Linked DNA regions of Caenorhabditis elegans. The protein of the gene in region 1 purifies or fractionates together with the protein of each later gene. This does not show direct contact. Each region holds a gene or a part of one and is shown on either strand. Other genes may lie near its edges.

Evidence for each region.
Region 2: the proteins of sin-3 (region 1) and ztf-11 purify together in Caenorhabditis elegans (affinity purification with mass spectrometry; 2 studies listed by BioGRID, with this or other methods). This does not show direct contact.

What each region holds. Positions count from the first base shown.
Region 1 is NC_003279.8:8,414,538-8,421,284, reverse strand, and holds the start of sin-3 (Paired amphipathic helix protein sin-3), read right to left. Parts: upstream 4,455-6,747; 5' UTR 4,454-4,454; coding exon 3,779-4,453; intron 3,391-3,778; coding exon 3,104-3,390; intron 2,835-3,103; coding exon 2,678-2,834; intron 2,566-2,677; coding exon 2,263-2,565; intron 1,864-2,262; coding exon 1,429-1,863; intron 938-1,428; coding exon 803-937; intron 757-802; coding exon 658-756; intron 332-657; coding exon 1-331. Other genes in the region: F02E9.7 (Tartrate-resistant acid phosphatase type 5), read right to left, coding at 5,199-5,418, 5,463-5,584, 5,631-5,778, 6,055-6,404, 6,465-6,616, 6,660-6,747. UniProt on the Caenorhabditis elegans protein: Probable transcriptional repressor required for the deposition of dimethylated 'Lys-9' of histone H3 (H3K9me2) on asynapsed chromosome pairs (both autosomes and sex chromosomes) during meiosis, but this does not seem to solely affect the transcriptional status.
Region 2 is NC_003279.8:9,903,617-9,913,337, forward strand, and holds ztf-11 (Zinc finger protein ztf-11), read right to left. Parts: upstream 6,930-9,721; 5' UTR 6,912-6,929; coding exon 6,731-6,911; intron 5,820-6,730; exon of another isoform or gene 5,709-5,819; intron 4,150-5,708; coding exon 3,992-4,149; intron 3,910-3,991; exon of another isoform or gene 3,787-3,909; intron 3,755-3,786; coding exon 3,530-3,754; intron 2,718-3,529; coding exon 2,504-2,717; intron 2,236-2,503; coding exon 2,116-2,235; intron 1,907-2,115; coding exon 1,612-1,906; intron 1,562-1,611; coding exon 1,483-1,561; intron 1,128-1,482; coding exon 780-1,127; 3' UTR 686-779; downstream 1-685.

The DNA.
Region 1 (6,747 bases):
TAAATCGATAACTAGGACCTAGTGTACACACTGTTGCTGCTTCAACATTCTTCACTTGTTGCAACATTTTTTGATCACGAAGACCTCGTTTTGGTTGAATGGCAGGTAAATCTTTTCTCATAACTGCATCCATATCATTCTCTGGTCGATTTTTTGGTTCTTTTTCTGCACCCAATAATTGGAGAATAATCATTTCAAGATCAGAACCAGATGTTCCCATGATCTTTGGAAGTTCACTAATCAATTGTTCTCGGGTTATATCCAAATTTGCGTAGGCATTTATCAAAACCATCAGGTGAGACAGTTGATTCGGTGTTGTTCGACTTTTTAGCTGAAAATAAAGTTTATTGAATAAGCAAAATGATAAAAACTTTTAGAGGGCGAGTGGCTTGAATTGGATTTTGTTTTAATGGGTTATGGGGTTATTCAAGTAGTGTTGGAAAATTAAAAAGTGTAGAAAAATTACGTCACACCTGTTTTCAAGTATTTAAATACATGTGTGACGTAATTTTTCTACACTTTTTCCGATAATAATTTTTAACACGGCGATCGGCGATCGCCGATTACCGTTAATATTTTTGTCTTCGGCGATTTTATTGACAAATTTGGATTTTGAATCGAAATCCCCATTTACGCTACTCCACCGTTAAAACAAACCCTTTCATAAAGAATTCTGTATGATTTCTTGAGTATCATCAATTCCACGGTTGCTCCTTCATCGCCTTGCCCAGCAACTTTTAGTTTCAGTTTTTCATTCTGAAATTTTTAATCATTTTATTTAATTTTAAAAGGAGTAGCAAACCTTTTTAGTCCCCATTTTGCATTTTTCCATTTGTTTCACTAAATCCATGTCGACATCGGATGGATTTACACGATTTACAGGTGGAATATCGTTACGATCGTTGGTGGCGGAGAAATGGAGAATTGTTTTGATTTTCTGGAAAAGAAAAAAGGTTTAAAAATATTGATTTGCAATGATAGTTTTTTTTTTCAAAAACGAAAAAGGCGTTTTGTTTACAAAAACTGGTTGGTAGATCAAGGGCAAATTGCATGATTATTGAGATTTTTTTTTGATCTATGATATTTTTCGACGATGAACAAATATCAAGTCTACTTTTCTAATTAATTATTTCAAAATATATTTAAATATTAAAAACTGAAAATTAAATTAGATAGTTCACTTGAATTGTTTTAGATATTTCTATTTTAAATTTTAAATTTTCGCAATTTCGTGAATGGGAAATTTTCTATAGAATACTGCAAATATTCTGAAATTCAAAAATCATGCAAAAAAACGAAAAATTCTTGAATTTGGAAAGTTGTGGTTTTTCATTATTCCTCGCTTTTTCGTGTTTCATTTGGTATTTCGGAATTTCAGAATATTTTTTAATTATTATGAAAAATCATATATAGGATACATTATCTCACCAATGCTATCGCATCAGATCCATTAACAAGAAGTTTCCCAAGATATGGAAGAAAATCAATAGTTGCTGCAAGAAGATCAGGTTCTCCAATACAACAATTAGCAAGCATTGAGACAAGATAATCTGAGCACGATTCCTCAATTTGCAGATTTTTCGATGAATCTTTTTTCTCAATATCATCAGGTTTTTTGATTTCTTGTGGTGCATTGGATGGTCCTGGAACATCATCAACTTCGATTTTCTCATTTTCTTCAATCTCGTCATCCTCATCATCTTTTCTCAATTTTTCCATATCTTTTTTATATTGTTGATCACTCATGAAGAAGTCAATGAACGTCATGAAATCAACAAGTTTCGTCGGGCGAGCCAGAAACGATTTTTTGAGAAGTTCGATTATGTTCAGTGTATGAGCAGCCAATTCACTTGACATTTCGATCTGAAAACGATTTTTAAATTTTTCACATGGCACTTACATGTTTTCTAGATCAATTATGGCTTGTGAAGGCAGAAGTTTGATATACAATAATAAATAGCTAAGAAAATGTACTGAAAAGACAACAATGTTTCGCTACAGTAAACACTCCAGGACAAAGAAAGATATAGAGCTCAAACGAGCAAGAGAATCGCCCATCGTTGAAGAACTGGGAAAACCAGCAACTATCAGTGAAGGCAATACAGAAAAGTAAAAATTTTAGAAGATTTTTATTTTTGAAGAAAAATCTGAAAACGTTGGTATGTATTTTTTTAAAATTTATCAAAGAAGATTTCAGATATGTTTAAAATCAAATATTTTAAAAACCTTCAAGTTTTTTGTTTTCAAACAAACAACACAAACCTCTTGTTGTGAATCTTCACAATCATCCTTCTTTCTATCATCACAAATAATTTCTTCAATCAAATGATTATCTTCTTCCATCATTTCTTCATTATTTTTATCTTCTATTCCAGATTCTTCATCATCTTCATCATCAATTCCATCTACATCATCTTTTTCTTTACTTTTATCCATATCTTCATCTTCAATTGTACGGTCTTCGTCTTTTGATATTCCTTCTTGAGAACCCAACTCAATTGCTCCTACAGCTTGTGCTCCAGCTTCAATTGCACGGGCTCGGCGTTCGTCAGGCGATAGCAGAACCTTCAAATTTTTTGTAATTTAATTTCGAGGCAAAACAATATTGTGTGGATATTGGATTTTTAAAACTATTTTCAAATCAGATTTTTAGTATAATCTAAATATCCAAACGAACCCTTGGCTGCATTTGTGGCGAAGAAAAAACATATTTTCGATCTGGAGTCAATGTGATACGATATCCAGTTGGCAGAAAAGTATTGAATCCAAGAACAAGTTCCGGTGAATCATATAAAAGTTCTGCTACTTGTTCAATCACATCAGGTGTTTCAATTCTGCAAAAAAGACAGATATTTGTTTTTTTTTTTGGATTTAAATAAAGCAAAATTTAATCCGCATCAAATGTGTCGGTTTTACGATATTTCGGAAGATAGCTTGAAATTTTTTGCCTTTTCAAGTAAATTATGTTATCTTATGTTTGAACAAAACAAATGTTTTTTTAAAGTTTTTTGTAAATCTAAGAATATTTGTTTTCCCGGAAAAACCAAAACAATTTTTTTTGATTTTCAACCTTCAAAAATAAAATTCAAATTTTCAGAATTACCTCTGAGCACGAAAATCCTTCATAATTTCCAAAAATCGATGATAAACGGGTACATCAGATGAGAAAGTACTTTTAATAACTCTCAGATAGGCGAGAGCTTCATCAACACGTGGTGGACCTTCTGGTTTCTTTCGACGACCTGGACGATTTTGTCGTCGGCCACCTTGTTGTTGACGAGGCTCACGTTGAGGACACCCTGCAGAAGTTGCTGGAACAACTGGAGGAACTGAAGGAACTTCATTAGAAATTGGTCCTTGTTGAGCAATTGGAAGGGCTAGTGGAGGAGTCTGAAAAATAGATTTATTGGTTTTCGGAATGAATTGTTAAATTGACGTAAATATAAAATTGTCAATTGCTATAAATTTTTTTAGTTCAGACATGCATTTCATTGATAAAATATCATCATCTAATATTTGAAAACAGTCTTAAACTTCAAATTTTTACACATTTTCTTCAAAAAACTTACGAAATGCTGAAAAACAAAAGTAATTCTGTTATTTTTTGAGCTCAATTGAGAAATATTAGGTTTGCGAATTTCGGGAAAGCAGAAATGAAGGACAAATTGTTTGGCGCTACAGTACTTTCTAACTTTTTAAAATATAATTTTCTATAAAGAAAGGTTCAGACCTTCCAATTTTCAGACATTTTTTAATTTTCAATCAAATAAATATTTACGGGAATATGCTGCTGATGCTGTACTTGTTGAACGGGAACCTGACGATGATGGGCCAGGATTTGTTGTGCCTGTTGAGTCGATGTGAGATTTTGAATATTCAAAGCTTGTTGCTGTGGAATCGGACGAATCAATGGAGATTGTTGTTGACTGTTGGCCCTTGGTACATTTGCAGCCTCTTCCTGTGCAATAAATTGTTCAATATTTCTTGCAGCTTCACTATTTCTAGCAAATGGGGTTATTGCCGGTGAATGAGATGGTAGTAGATATTGTTGCTGAAGAGCAGAAGCTGCTGGTGAATGTGATGGTTGAAGTGGAGAACCGATATGAAAAGGAATTGGAGAACCTTGAGCATTTTGTGCAAATTGTGCCTGAGCTGCTTGAACAGCAGCTTGTACTTGAAATAATCCTAAAGGATTAAATGGAAATTGATTGAGTCCTTGAAGAAGTTGATTTTGTTGTTGTTGATGTTGCATTCTTTGTTGTTCTATCAAAATACGCTCTTGATCACGTATTTGAAGTTCCAGTTGTTGTTGTTGTTGATTCTGATGCTGTTGTTGATGTTGTGATTGTTGAATCATTTGTAATAAAAACAACGTCGCATTATTTGTAGGTTGTTGTTGAGATTGATCTCCTCCATTGTTGCCACCGCCGCCTCCAGGTGGTGGATTGTACATTCTGAAAATCTAACTTTGGAAAGTTACCTTTAGTGAGAAGTTTTAGAAAATAGAGAAAAGAGACAAAAATAAGTTTCTTTATTGATTTGCTTTTTTAGCACATCCTTAAATTTCCAACGCTGTTTCAAGCTGAACGTTCAGTTTCAATTTTTTTAAAAATCAATCATTTGATTTTGTATTATTGAACTTAAAGTTTGAAAACCGTATATAGCTGAAAAATCGAAAGAAAATTTACTTAAATTCTTTTTCAAATGTTGAGAAAACTTTAGTCTTTGATTAAAATGAGACATTGTTACGAAACAGTAGAATTTTTGTTTTTCTAATGTTACAAAGTTTTCAAATTCGATAGGAATATTGTTAGTAAATGTTTGTATGATTAAAAAACGTTACACTTTGAAATTTTAACAAAAAAAAGAACATTTTGTTCGTAAATCCTGTGAAGTATTGAAAATGGCGCTCGTTTCTCTGCTGCCTCTCCTCTCTCGCTTTTGCCTTTCAGAGCGCGTTTGCATACAGCTTAAGAGACGCAGAGAATTTATTTTCCGGAAATATAATTTAACGAAGTACGCTGAATAACCTTTAAAAAGGTGGCGGAGCTCAAAAAATAATTTAAATATTACAATTTAGAGCCCAACAAATAAATAAAATTTTTATTTTCAACCCGTTCAAGATATATTATACATGAAATTATGAGGGAGTTCAATAAATATTCAAAAAATTGAATTTCAACTGCTTAAATAATTAATTACATTCCTATTTCTACAAACGGTGAGGCAGTTGATCGTGTCGATGTATCCGTCGGGATCACACGTGTGGGGATGATCGTCGAATAAAGCTGTTTTCCTCTTTTGTCAAAGAAATCGAGTCGAGCATTGTAATGTCCAAATTCTGCATATATTAAGCCGCCTTTACGGAATCCGAGCTGCGAAACTGGTGACCACGAGAACCATGATTTTTCCGGATAACTGAAAGTTTGTTGAAATTACTTTTTAATGCTTTCAATCTTCACTTGAACTTCAACGTATCCCTACTGAATTCTTTAATATGCTTCGTTGATGCATCTGCTCGAGAAGCTGCTCCAGACACAACATAGTTAATTATATGCTCTCCATACCCGGGAAAAGTGAAATGCTGAAACATTTATAAAGTAATTTGAATTAAAATTACTAAGGTAAACCTGCAACGAATGGTCGTGTCCTGAGAAGTAAGCATTCACATTAAATCGTTTTAAAAGTGGATCCAAACGTTGACGTAAACAGTCAGTTGGACCATGTGATGACATAGAATGAACAGGATAATGACCAGAAATTATTAGGTATTGGGCACTGAAAGAGGATTTTTAAAATAAATTTCCATTACCCAGAAGCGAAATCTTCCGATTTCTGGGCCAGGCATAAGATGCACGGTCTCGGCACGACTAAATTTTGTTGAATGCAAAAATGTGCGCCTTTTTTTTTAATCTTGAATATAACAATTTAAAAATAGATGAAAATTCCGCAACAAGAGTTAAAAATTACAGTACTTTAAAGGTGCATACCTGTTTTTATTTTACAAAAAGGTCGTGGCGAGGTCATTTTTTGAAAAAATCCAAAATTCCTAACCTGCTTGCTTCTAAGTTATTCTCCAACCATGCCCATTGTTCTTCAGCGGCAGTTATATTAACAGGACCACGTGGATCATGTGATTCATTACGTAACATTTCAATAAAACCAGCATTTTGAATATCCTTTGTATTTCCACATAAGGAAATTGTATCAATCATTAAAAAATCGATAGAAGTACCATTGAATTCTACTGATTTCTTATAGTAAAGTGATGGAAAATACCACTTTTTACTATGTTTTGTATATTCAATCTCGGCGGTCACATTTCCAAAATGATCATGATTTCCGGCTATTGTGAGCCATGGAACTTGTAGACTCGGATTCGTGTAGACATTTTCGAAACGTGACTGAAATATTTTAAATTTAGAGGGATTTACTAAAATTTTGGGTTAAAAAAAAGTACAAACCTCGAATCTTGGATCAAATTCATCAGTGGGTCCCGTAAAATATATGTTATCACCCATATTTAATATCATTTGAACACTATGTTCATCTGCTAATGATGCCATTGTCTGTTTGACTTCATTTTGTGCCCAAGTCGTCTCCAATATTGGAATTCCTGAATTACTAGAGATACACTTTTTTCTAAAATCATTTTATACCTCCTGTATCACCAACTAACAAAATTCGAAAACTTTTTGAATCTCTTTCCGGATCGTAAATATTTCCATTATAAAGCGGAACATCTTC
Region 2 (9,721 bases), 1.5 Mb from region 1:
TGAAAACTACAGTAATTCTTTAAATGACTACTGTAGCTCTTATGTCGATTTCCGGGCTCGATTTTTCTTTCAATATTCGAAAAAAAAATAATTCAAAAAATCGAGCCCGTAAATCGACACAAGAGCTACAGTAGTCATTTTAAGAATTACTGCAGTTTTCGCTACGAGATATGTTGCGCGGCTCAGAATGTTGTAATCTCGTAATATATAAGTAGTTTCCAATGTTTCTTGCAAGTTTTAGCGTTAAAATTGCATCAATTTCAGAAAATAGCCTTAAGTACACATCGGAATATTATTTGCAAGTTTCATTTTTCAATTTCCTCTTCCATTTCAATATTCTTTAGCAAAAAAAAGGTCGAGTGAACAATAAATAAACTAATTGTAAGGACCGTTTCCCCCTAACATATTGTCCAATTCACTTGATTGAGTATTTCTAAGAAAGGTCAATGACCGAAAAGTAACTGGCAAACTCTCAACTACTGTCATTTTTGGTGCAAACGGTGCAATCTGGCGACATCTGCCACTTCTTAATACGGTCTCTCTCTCTCTTCGCTCCACGATGCTTGATTGATGATGACCACCGGGCTGCTGGTGCTGCCCGAGAGAGCACACAGATTTGAGAGGAGTAGAGATAAATCAGTTTGAAAGAATAGATTGAGGAGAGTGAGGGATAAAAGAAAAAACTATTTGAATAAAGAAGGAATGTATTGAGTTTCTGAACACAAATGTGAATCAATCGGTAATGTGAAAACTAGAAATAAATACGATTTTTTAAAAACTTAAAACCCTTGCTGCATTTGCAATTGTGTCAGCATGATTTGAGCAAGTAGAGCACTTTGATTTCCGAAAAGAGCCGCTTGTGGGGAATACTGAGGGAATGGCACTTGTGGGGCAGTCATTTTGAGAAGAGCCTCCGAGAATCCAGGCATTTGAAGGAGCATTTGAGATGTTGGGGAGCTCTTTTCCGCGGAGCCAGGAGCAACTGGAGCAGCAACAGGTCTTGATGGTGTTGATTGAATCTCTGGGATCACGGATGGAACAGGTGACTCGCATTTAACTTCTTCTTCTTCTTTAATAAGAGTTGGAATATCATCTGATGTTGTTTCAACGTCAACTTCCATCTCGTTCTGAAATAAATTACCGTTAAGATTAAAAGATAAAGTGACTTTGGTAAGTTTTTCAAATCTTCACAACTGCCCATTTCGGATCAAAAATTAATATAGAAAAATGGAAAAATATCTGATTGATTCGGAAATAATCTTCATTTTCTTGGGAAATTTGGAAACTGGAGGAAGTTGTCATTTACCAAAAAACTGTCTTAGAATTTTTTTTCGGTAAAGGACAGTTTGAGAAAGTTTTTCAGGTCTTTAAAGTAATTTTTATGAGCATTTTCCCAAAACTTTTAAATAAAATTATTTTCAGAGAGTACAAATATTCCTCAATTAAAAACTTCTCAGAATCAAATGTTATAAATTATTGTACCTCTTTCTTTGACTCCTCTTCCAATGTAGCAAGTGGTTGTGTTTGAGAGAATTGTTGGAAGAGAGCATCCATCATTTGACTGAAAATTCAATTTTATAGAAACTGTTTATTGAGAATGAAATAGAATACCTTGATGGAATGAGTCCTGCTTGTGCTGCAGCCAACAATTGCTGAGCTGACAATCCAGCTGGAAGTCCAGAAAGTGTCAAGTCAAGTGGACATTCATCAGAAATACTGATTCCCTTAATTGGAGTTTTCGTGCGTTGTGGTGTTGTCTTAATTCCCTTCCGTGCAAGCTTTTCCTGATGGGCAATTGGACAACCAGAGAGACTACGGTGAGATGTTCTATTTCCATTGACATGTCCCTTTCCAGAGCATCCGGCTGTGGTGCATCGGAGCACGGTGTCTTGTCGGAGAGCAAGCACTGCAAACGGGAAAAGTAAGTGAGTGAGTGGGAAAAGTCATCAATCTTTGGCTCTTGCTACTGCTACAAGTATTGGCTTCAAAGTAAGTATGAAATGCATGAGAGCTCATTTATCTTAAGCTCTTTTTACCAGATTAATGAGCTAGTTTACTTGTTGCTCCAAGTTCACAGCCAGCTAAGATTTATGTTTAGTTTCAATTTAAACTTACTTTGGATAACAGTCTTGTCTGGTCTACGTGGACATCCGGACAAACTTCTGTGATGAGTGTAGAGTCCTGTCTGATGTCCTGATCCATCACATCCAGGTGTTGGACAAGCCAGTTTGCCTTCTGAAAGTTGGGACTTAGTACCGCTCCAAATGGAATTTCATGTGATTCGGTGCGAGTGGAGTGGTAAGTGAGGGGATTAGTTTATTTTGTGGTTAGTGCACTCATTTTATCCCTCCCAAATGGATTATTATTTTTTGATATTCTTCGAAAGAAAACTCAGAATGGGGGAATTAGTGGTTAGTAAGTTGGGGTTAGAGATTGATTTTCAACTGAAATATCTTCAGAGGATTACTGTAGGGTCCCAACTTTCTGTTCAAAAAGTCCTTACCACGTCTGATGCTCCATGAGTAACCAGTACCAGGTGATGGAATTGATCCGTTTGGAGTAAATGCAACTGTTGGAGTTGTAGAGATTGAAAGTTCATCACTGATATTTGTATGTGTAATTGGAGACATAACTCGAGATTCTGATCCAGATGAGTGTGGTGGGCTTGAAGCAGTTAATGGAGTCTTTGGAGTATCCGACGATGTCATCATTGGGCTCTGAAAATCGTATTTTTTGGTAAAAAAGATATGAAACGAAGAAAAACAATAATAGTAATCCATCAAAGTTGGCAAGTCTCACTCTTTACTACTACTACTCCTAGTAAGAACAATCGGTGAGGCGGCAGTGTCATTGGTCACGCAATGTCATCCGTTGGGTTCTAAGGTGTTTTGTGTCTGTTTTGACATATAATTAAAGTTGGAAGCCCTTGCGTGACCAGCAACTTGTTATTTCAAGTCATTGCTACCAACTAGGTGGTCCGAGGAGTTGTAAGAAATTTGATCTACCGTACTCGCTTTAACAATTGAATTTAATAGAGTTTCCAAAAGTTCCGTGAATTTTCCTGAGAACTTTCCTAAATCTTATAGAAAATTCCAGAAGTTTTCCTAATTTTCTAAAATCTCCAGAAGATTTTTGAACCTCCTAGAACTTTTCAAACGTTTCTCCAGCTTTTCTTTCTGAAACCTTTCGAAACAGTTTCGACTTTTCAAAGTTGCTCGGTTCTTCCAAGACCTTCCAGATGATTTTTAAAAATTTTTAAAAATTTTCCGGAACTTCCCAAAATTTCCTCGAAGACATGACCCTAATTTTCGTTAAGCTAGGCATTGCAAAACTACCAGTTTCCCTTGAAACTTCTCACTTAAATTTTCAAAATTTTGAAATAATTTCCCAAGTTGAGCTGCCATTCCCAATTTCAATATGTGTCAATGTGAGTTCATAAATATGCAACAAGTCACTTTTCTCTACCGTGTGCCCCCCATTCCCACTTCACTTCTTTTCACTCAAAATGCAAATTTCTTTGGCTTCTCACCTTTGACGACGACGTCTCCTCTGCTGTCACGACACCACCATCCAAAACTGAGTCGACATCGGAAGGTGATGTGTCAGAGTGTGTGGCGCTCATCATATTTCCTGATGTAAAAATTTCAAGCTGTTTTTGGAAGGATGGAGCCATAAATTGCGAGAAGAGGAACGACGGAACTCCTTCGAGGCCACTTGGAACTGATGAGGTGACGACATCTGCGGAGGTGGCGGTCTGAAAGTGAATGGAATGAATGAAGATGTTATCTCAAAGGATCTCAGACAGATGTACAGGCACATGTTCTTCTTCGGAAGCATAAAAAAGTTGTTAGGTAATAGTTCGGAACGATGGAACAGGTGCTCTCTCTAGGCCCTGTCAGCTGTCTTTTGCGTCCTTTTAAGACCATCCAAGGACACATCATATATTTAATTGCCGATTCGATTTCAAAACCGAACACTAAATTTTACTAACCTGTTCAGTTGGTTTCTGTGCATTGTTTGTTGTCGTGTCACAAGTCATATTCTGATCTTCTTCTGTTTCGTTTTCTTTTGTATCTGAAGATGATGGAATCGATGAACACGTGGCAGCAGCGGCTTCGGCTTCTTCGGCAACACGGACAATGTCTTTAGCTGTAATGAGCAAAAGTCATGATGTGAAGGGTAATGATGGAGCGGTAATGTATGGAGTTCTAATGAATAGGTAGAGCAACATGAGGAGATGAGTACAAGAACATCTGTCAACTCGTAAGATTCTGATATTTGAGATGAGAGATGCATTAGCTAAGTAGGGGTAAATCCCAAGAAGAGAAGTTTCAGTAGATCAAGTTCAAATTTCCGAGGCCAGATATTTTTCAGGGAGTTGAAAATTGAAGCTCCTTTGGTCGCCAGCATTTGTTTCATAAAAATTCACTTTTGAATAATTTTCTATTTCGCTACATTTATCAATTTAGGTATGCGGCAGGCGTAGGCCTCAGGTACTGTCAGAAAAGTTTCAGCCAATCCATCATGACTGTCAACTACAGTAATCTACCCATATGCCTCATTTTCCCATTCTACAATTTTCCTAACTCTTCCCTAATCTTTACCACCTTACCACCATATGTCATGTAAATGGTTCCAGATAGAGCGGTGACTAAAGAGAACGCAATGAATGTATAATTAATGATGCAGGACTTCTCCCCTCTGTTAGAGATCACTTGCGGTAAAAAAACTACAATAGAAGTGGGAAGCTTTTGATTGAGAAAAGGAAGTAACCAATGAGCCGAAGCGCGCCCTATGATGTTTTTGAAGTGGACCGCCCGTTTTTCGGAGATGGTCATGATGTAACCAGAAGCAGAGCACAATTCGCACAATTATGGACCGGAAAATGGAAGGAAGTGACAACTTGGCGGTGTCTTTTTGAGATTTTTTAATGAACAGAAGGAAATTTGTTTACATAGCCATTTTGAGGTGTTTTTGATTATGTAACTTATCGACTCACTGTGGCCCATTGTCACCTTTATCAGTAACTTTTTAAAATTAACTTTTGGAGTTAAAAAACCGAAAATTTGTACGAAAAGTGATTCAGTTGGCTAAATATAGCTACTTACTGCCTAGAAAAATCAAATCTCCAAAAAGTGACGCAAAGGTGATACTACAAATCGGTGTGTAAAACATCGACTTATAAGTCAGTTTCTGCCAGCCATCTGCAACCAAAAAAGGTGATATGACAAGAAGTCTTCATTTTTTGATTAGCAATAAAGAAAAAGTTTTGCAGAATGATTGCCCAAAATTACGGTATGGTGCCGTTGAAAAATATATAAAATATATAAAATTCCAGCTAATTGAAGCCGATGCACTTTGTATGGGAGGCATTTTGAATTTCAAAGGAAAGTTTTTAGCAAACAAAAAAACAAAGTGCTGGCGGTCTGTAGAGAACATCTGGCGACAGATGGAGGGGTACTTTTAAGAGGAGACAACTTCTAAGGGGGGAAAGATTTTGGATTTTGGATTTAAAGGTCACGACACTCACTCACTCGAATAGCCGAAATAATTGAATGGTAAAAAGTAAAAAGCGTGTGGCGGCTGTTTAAACTTTAAGCTTACATATTGGTCATTCGTAGAAGCATCTATATCACTGCTGACCATGGAAAAGTACTAGAGCTCCCTGTTTGAGCAGCTGTCGGTGTCTCCCAGTCACACTGTGCTTACGGGGTGGCCATATTTAGATTTTGACCATATAATAGTACTAGTAAATAGTACGAGAAAAAACTATTTGACGAGAAGAGAAAAATTATCTAGAAAGTCTTGTAGGGAGCAAGGAGAAAAAAATAATTTGAAAGTGAAGTTTCTGACTTTGAAATGGCTCTCTTTCTCAAATCTAAGTCAAAACGACTACAACATAATGCGATTTGACGTTGCGACACTAGATCAACCCGGGTTGTAGTTGAAAGAGTTGGAAAATATTGAAAAATCCAAAAACAAATGATGATGACGAGTAGGGTCAGAAGACCCAAATCTTTTCGATCCATTTTATCACAAGAATCAGATGGCAGATGGAGTTGCATTTGCAAAGTTATAGAGAGACAGTGGGGATTACGAGAGGAGAAGAATTGAACAAAGAAGGTTTCCCACGAGAAAAGTTTTACAGGTCAGGAGGAAATCCTCTATTCACTCTTAATTAAACAATTAGTGACACTTTGAAACTAGGCAAATAGCACCTAACCGAAACAATATTAAAACTATTCACACTGGAATTATAAATTAGAACAAATAAGTGCCGACTAGGAGAGAGTTTTACTTTAACAAACTGTATTCCGGGTTTTTTTTTGTTTTATCAAAATGTTTAACTATTAAAATGAAGAGAAATATTTGGCACGTACTTTGCCTGTTGAATAATTTTTAAAAGTTCAAAGATTGAGATAAACGATATAAAAGTAGAGAATTTTAGGGGCAAGTACCGCTTAACCATATGACTACGACTTTCATCGATTCCATCTTAGCTGTTTTTGGTATTATCAAGAAGTGAACGAGTTTTTATTTGTTTTCTATAGTTTACTGGTTGAATTAAATCAAGCTTAGAGTAACCAAGACACATGTAATCAAAAAGATTTTACCTATGAAAATAAAAACTAAATATTTTCCCAAATTTCTCCAGTTATTTTTTTTAATATAAAACACAAAGTATCCGAAATACAAGCTGAGCAACATCTCAAACTTTTCCCAAACTTACATTCTGGCTTCCGGCGTCTCTTCTTATCAGAAGAATCTGAAGCTGTGGAGTCTGGAGATTCAGATCCATCGGAATGAGTATCTGGAGGTGTTGGAAGTGAACCAGAAGATTTCATGAGCAATGACATTAAAACTGCTGGATCAATGGATGAAAAGTCTGGGTTGTTGGAGATTGATGACATTTTGATATAGATAAAGTCCTAAAACATATTTTTTAAATAGTAAGAAGGTACAGAGAAAAAGTTTTCAGCAAACAAGAAAAGTAGCAAGAAAGTGTAGAAGGACCACAGAATGACCACACATAGACACTCAAAGTAAGGAGGGCGGTCTGGAGGAGGACACCATCTGCTTAGCGGCGTGGTGCACCTGGCATCATGCATTGCCCGCGCACATACAGAGACTCCGCCTTCTTTTGGACAGTAATGGGGTTGCGTTCGGGTACCAAGTTAAACCCCAATGGCCCCCGATAATGCTTACGGGGGCAGGTGTGGAAGAGCAGGAAATGAATTATTGGAGATGGGACAGCAGGGATTAGGTAAAGTTAGATGTGCATGGTATTCAGTGGAGAACACTTGATGGGAGGATGGAAAATAATAATAATAGTTTACGTTGCGCGTGTATGGGAGATCAAATCCATCAGATTAGATGGTACAGACAAGACACTTGTAATGCGACACCTGTCTATGGCACTTTTGAATAAAGAGCTATGAATAGTATAGTCTAGATATGGAGTTTTTCAAACTTTTGAAGCTAATTGTATGTATAATAATTTTGAAAATGTGAAAAGTTGTCAATGGACGATACACAATTGTAATTTTTCAGGATTCACTGATAATTTTTGGATTTTGAAACTTTACACAAGTTCACCTAACAAATAGTTTTTTAACAGATATCAAAAAGTAACTAACTACAAAACGGTAGAAAAATGAATAAACATTTTCTTGCCAATTGATAATCTGTTGATATAGCAGAATACAACCTAGCAAAGTTGAAAAATTTAGAAGCAAAACAAATAAAGTCTGAATTTCTAGATTACCCCAGAAAGTAGGTAGTGTACACTTCCAAGTTTGGTAGATCTTCTTCTTGAACAAAATCAATCATAATCCTAAAACATATCTTCACTGTCACTATAGTAACAGTTTCACATTCAAGTGTGAACCGGAAGATTACAGAAATTTGAATGATTATCCTACATTTTGTTTGTTTTGAATGTAACAGAAGATAAGCCAAACTCTGAGGCGGTCAAGAGGAGAACCTAATAAAAGGTGAGGGATCTCGTTTATGACGTGGCAATGTATATTGGTTATGCACACAGAAATAGATACTATTGGGAAGTTATGTAGGTCACTGTATTGACAACAGGCAGACCTAATAGAGTGCAAACTAAACTTATTATTAGATAGAGATCTTACAAGGGTACACAGTTTTTAATTTTAGACCGTTTAACGAAATGTTTTTAAATTTACTTATATGATCGAGAAAAACATTAAAACTGAAATCCCACAAGTATAAGCCGTATTTTCCTACTACGGAAAGAGCAGGTTCTTGAATCATAGGACTTTTAATGGGGAAGATCTACCAAGTTTGGAAGTGTATGCTACCAACTTTTGTTTAGTAACCATCTGGAAAACTAGCCACTCTATCAGACTTGAACCCTAATGCTTAATTTTGACAGATGTTTTTTTTCATCAGAAATTATCAACTAGCACAAATGTAACATTTCTATCTCTACAATTTAGTAATTAACTACTTTTTGTATTTTTAAAATGTAGTGAAATATAGAATGCCAACTTGAAGAGAGAAATACTAATAGAAAAAAGCGCATCATGCTTATCAACCAACTTAACACTTTATATGTGAATTCGCAACTCTAGATAACTCTAGATATCAGTTTTAATTTACATTATTAGAAAAAAAAACATATCTACAAAATACCATGAAAGAAAATAATGGAAGTTACAAAGTGAGCAAAGAGTGTTGTCAAACTACAAGCATGGCCAATTTGTTTCGAAACGATCGTTGAACTTTAATGATGTGATGTATCATGTGTCATTTCCTACTAAATTTTTAAAAAAATCAATCCGAAACACGACTCCCCTAGTAGTAACTGAAAAGAACAAAACGATTAATGATGGTTGGAGAGGGAGACGATGTAAAAACTTAAAGAGTAGAAGACAACTGAGTTGTGCACGGCGGCTTCCTCTAGCCAATAGTTGAGAATTGGAGGCGGAGTCGAAAGAAGAAGTGACGGAGGGCGGAGTTATAGAGGCATACTTTCAACTATTGGGATTTGGAGTTCAGTACTTTGAGATTAATCAAAGTATGTTAAAAGTTTCATATTCAAAAGTGCAGAATAATAAAGTTAATAGTACAGAAAATAGGGACAGATGTTGTACTCATCATTCGAAAAATAAAAAGTTGGTCCAAGGCGGTCGCTTATGGGTTTTGAAGACGCGTGTAAAAGTAGAAATAAAACAAAGAGTATATTGGAATAGAAAAGTGAGTGTTAGTTGTAGAATGCGATATATTTATGAAAATTGAATTAATATGGTGAAGAAGGAAGGCCTCCCGAGCACATACACAAGCGCCAAGATGAATGACGAGATGAATGAGAAAGACCAACTTTTTTTCGCTCCGAAATTGGAAAGAAGTTGAAGTAGAATGAATAAGGGAAAATGGAAGAAGTTTTGAAGAAACTCGAGAGTATAATGAGTTTGAATAAAAGGTAAGTAGACCATGGCTTGTTGAGTGAAGAGGGGTAGATCAAATTTCATATAAATTTCAAGTTACAGGAAGTCCAATGCGGTCCTCAAACTTACTTTAGAAGAAATATATTCTAAAATAAGCATATTTGTTGGTTTTATGTAGCTTCAAAGGTAGCTTGTTGTACCCTACCGCATAGTTAACGGTGTAATTGAACCGGTGGGACTTTCTAATAACCTGGAACATGACCGAATCTCAGTATTGAACACTCCAGAAATTTTCAGTTTGA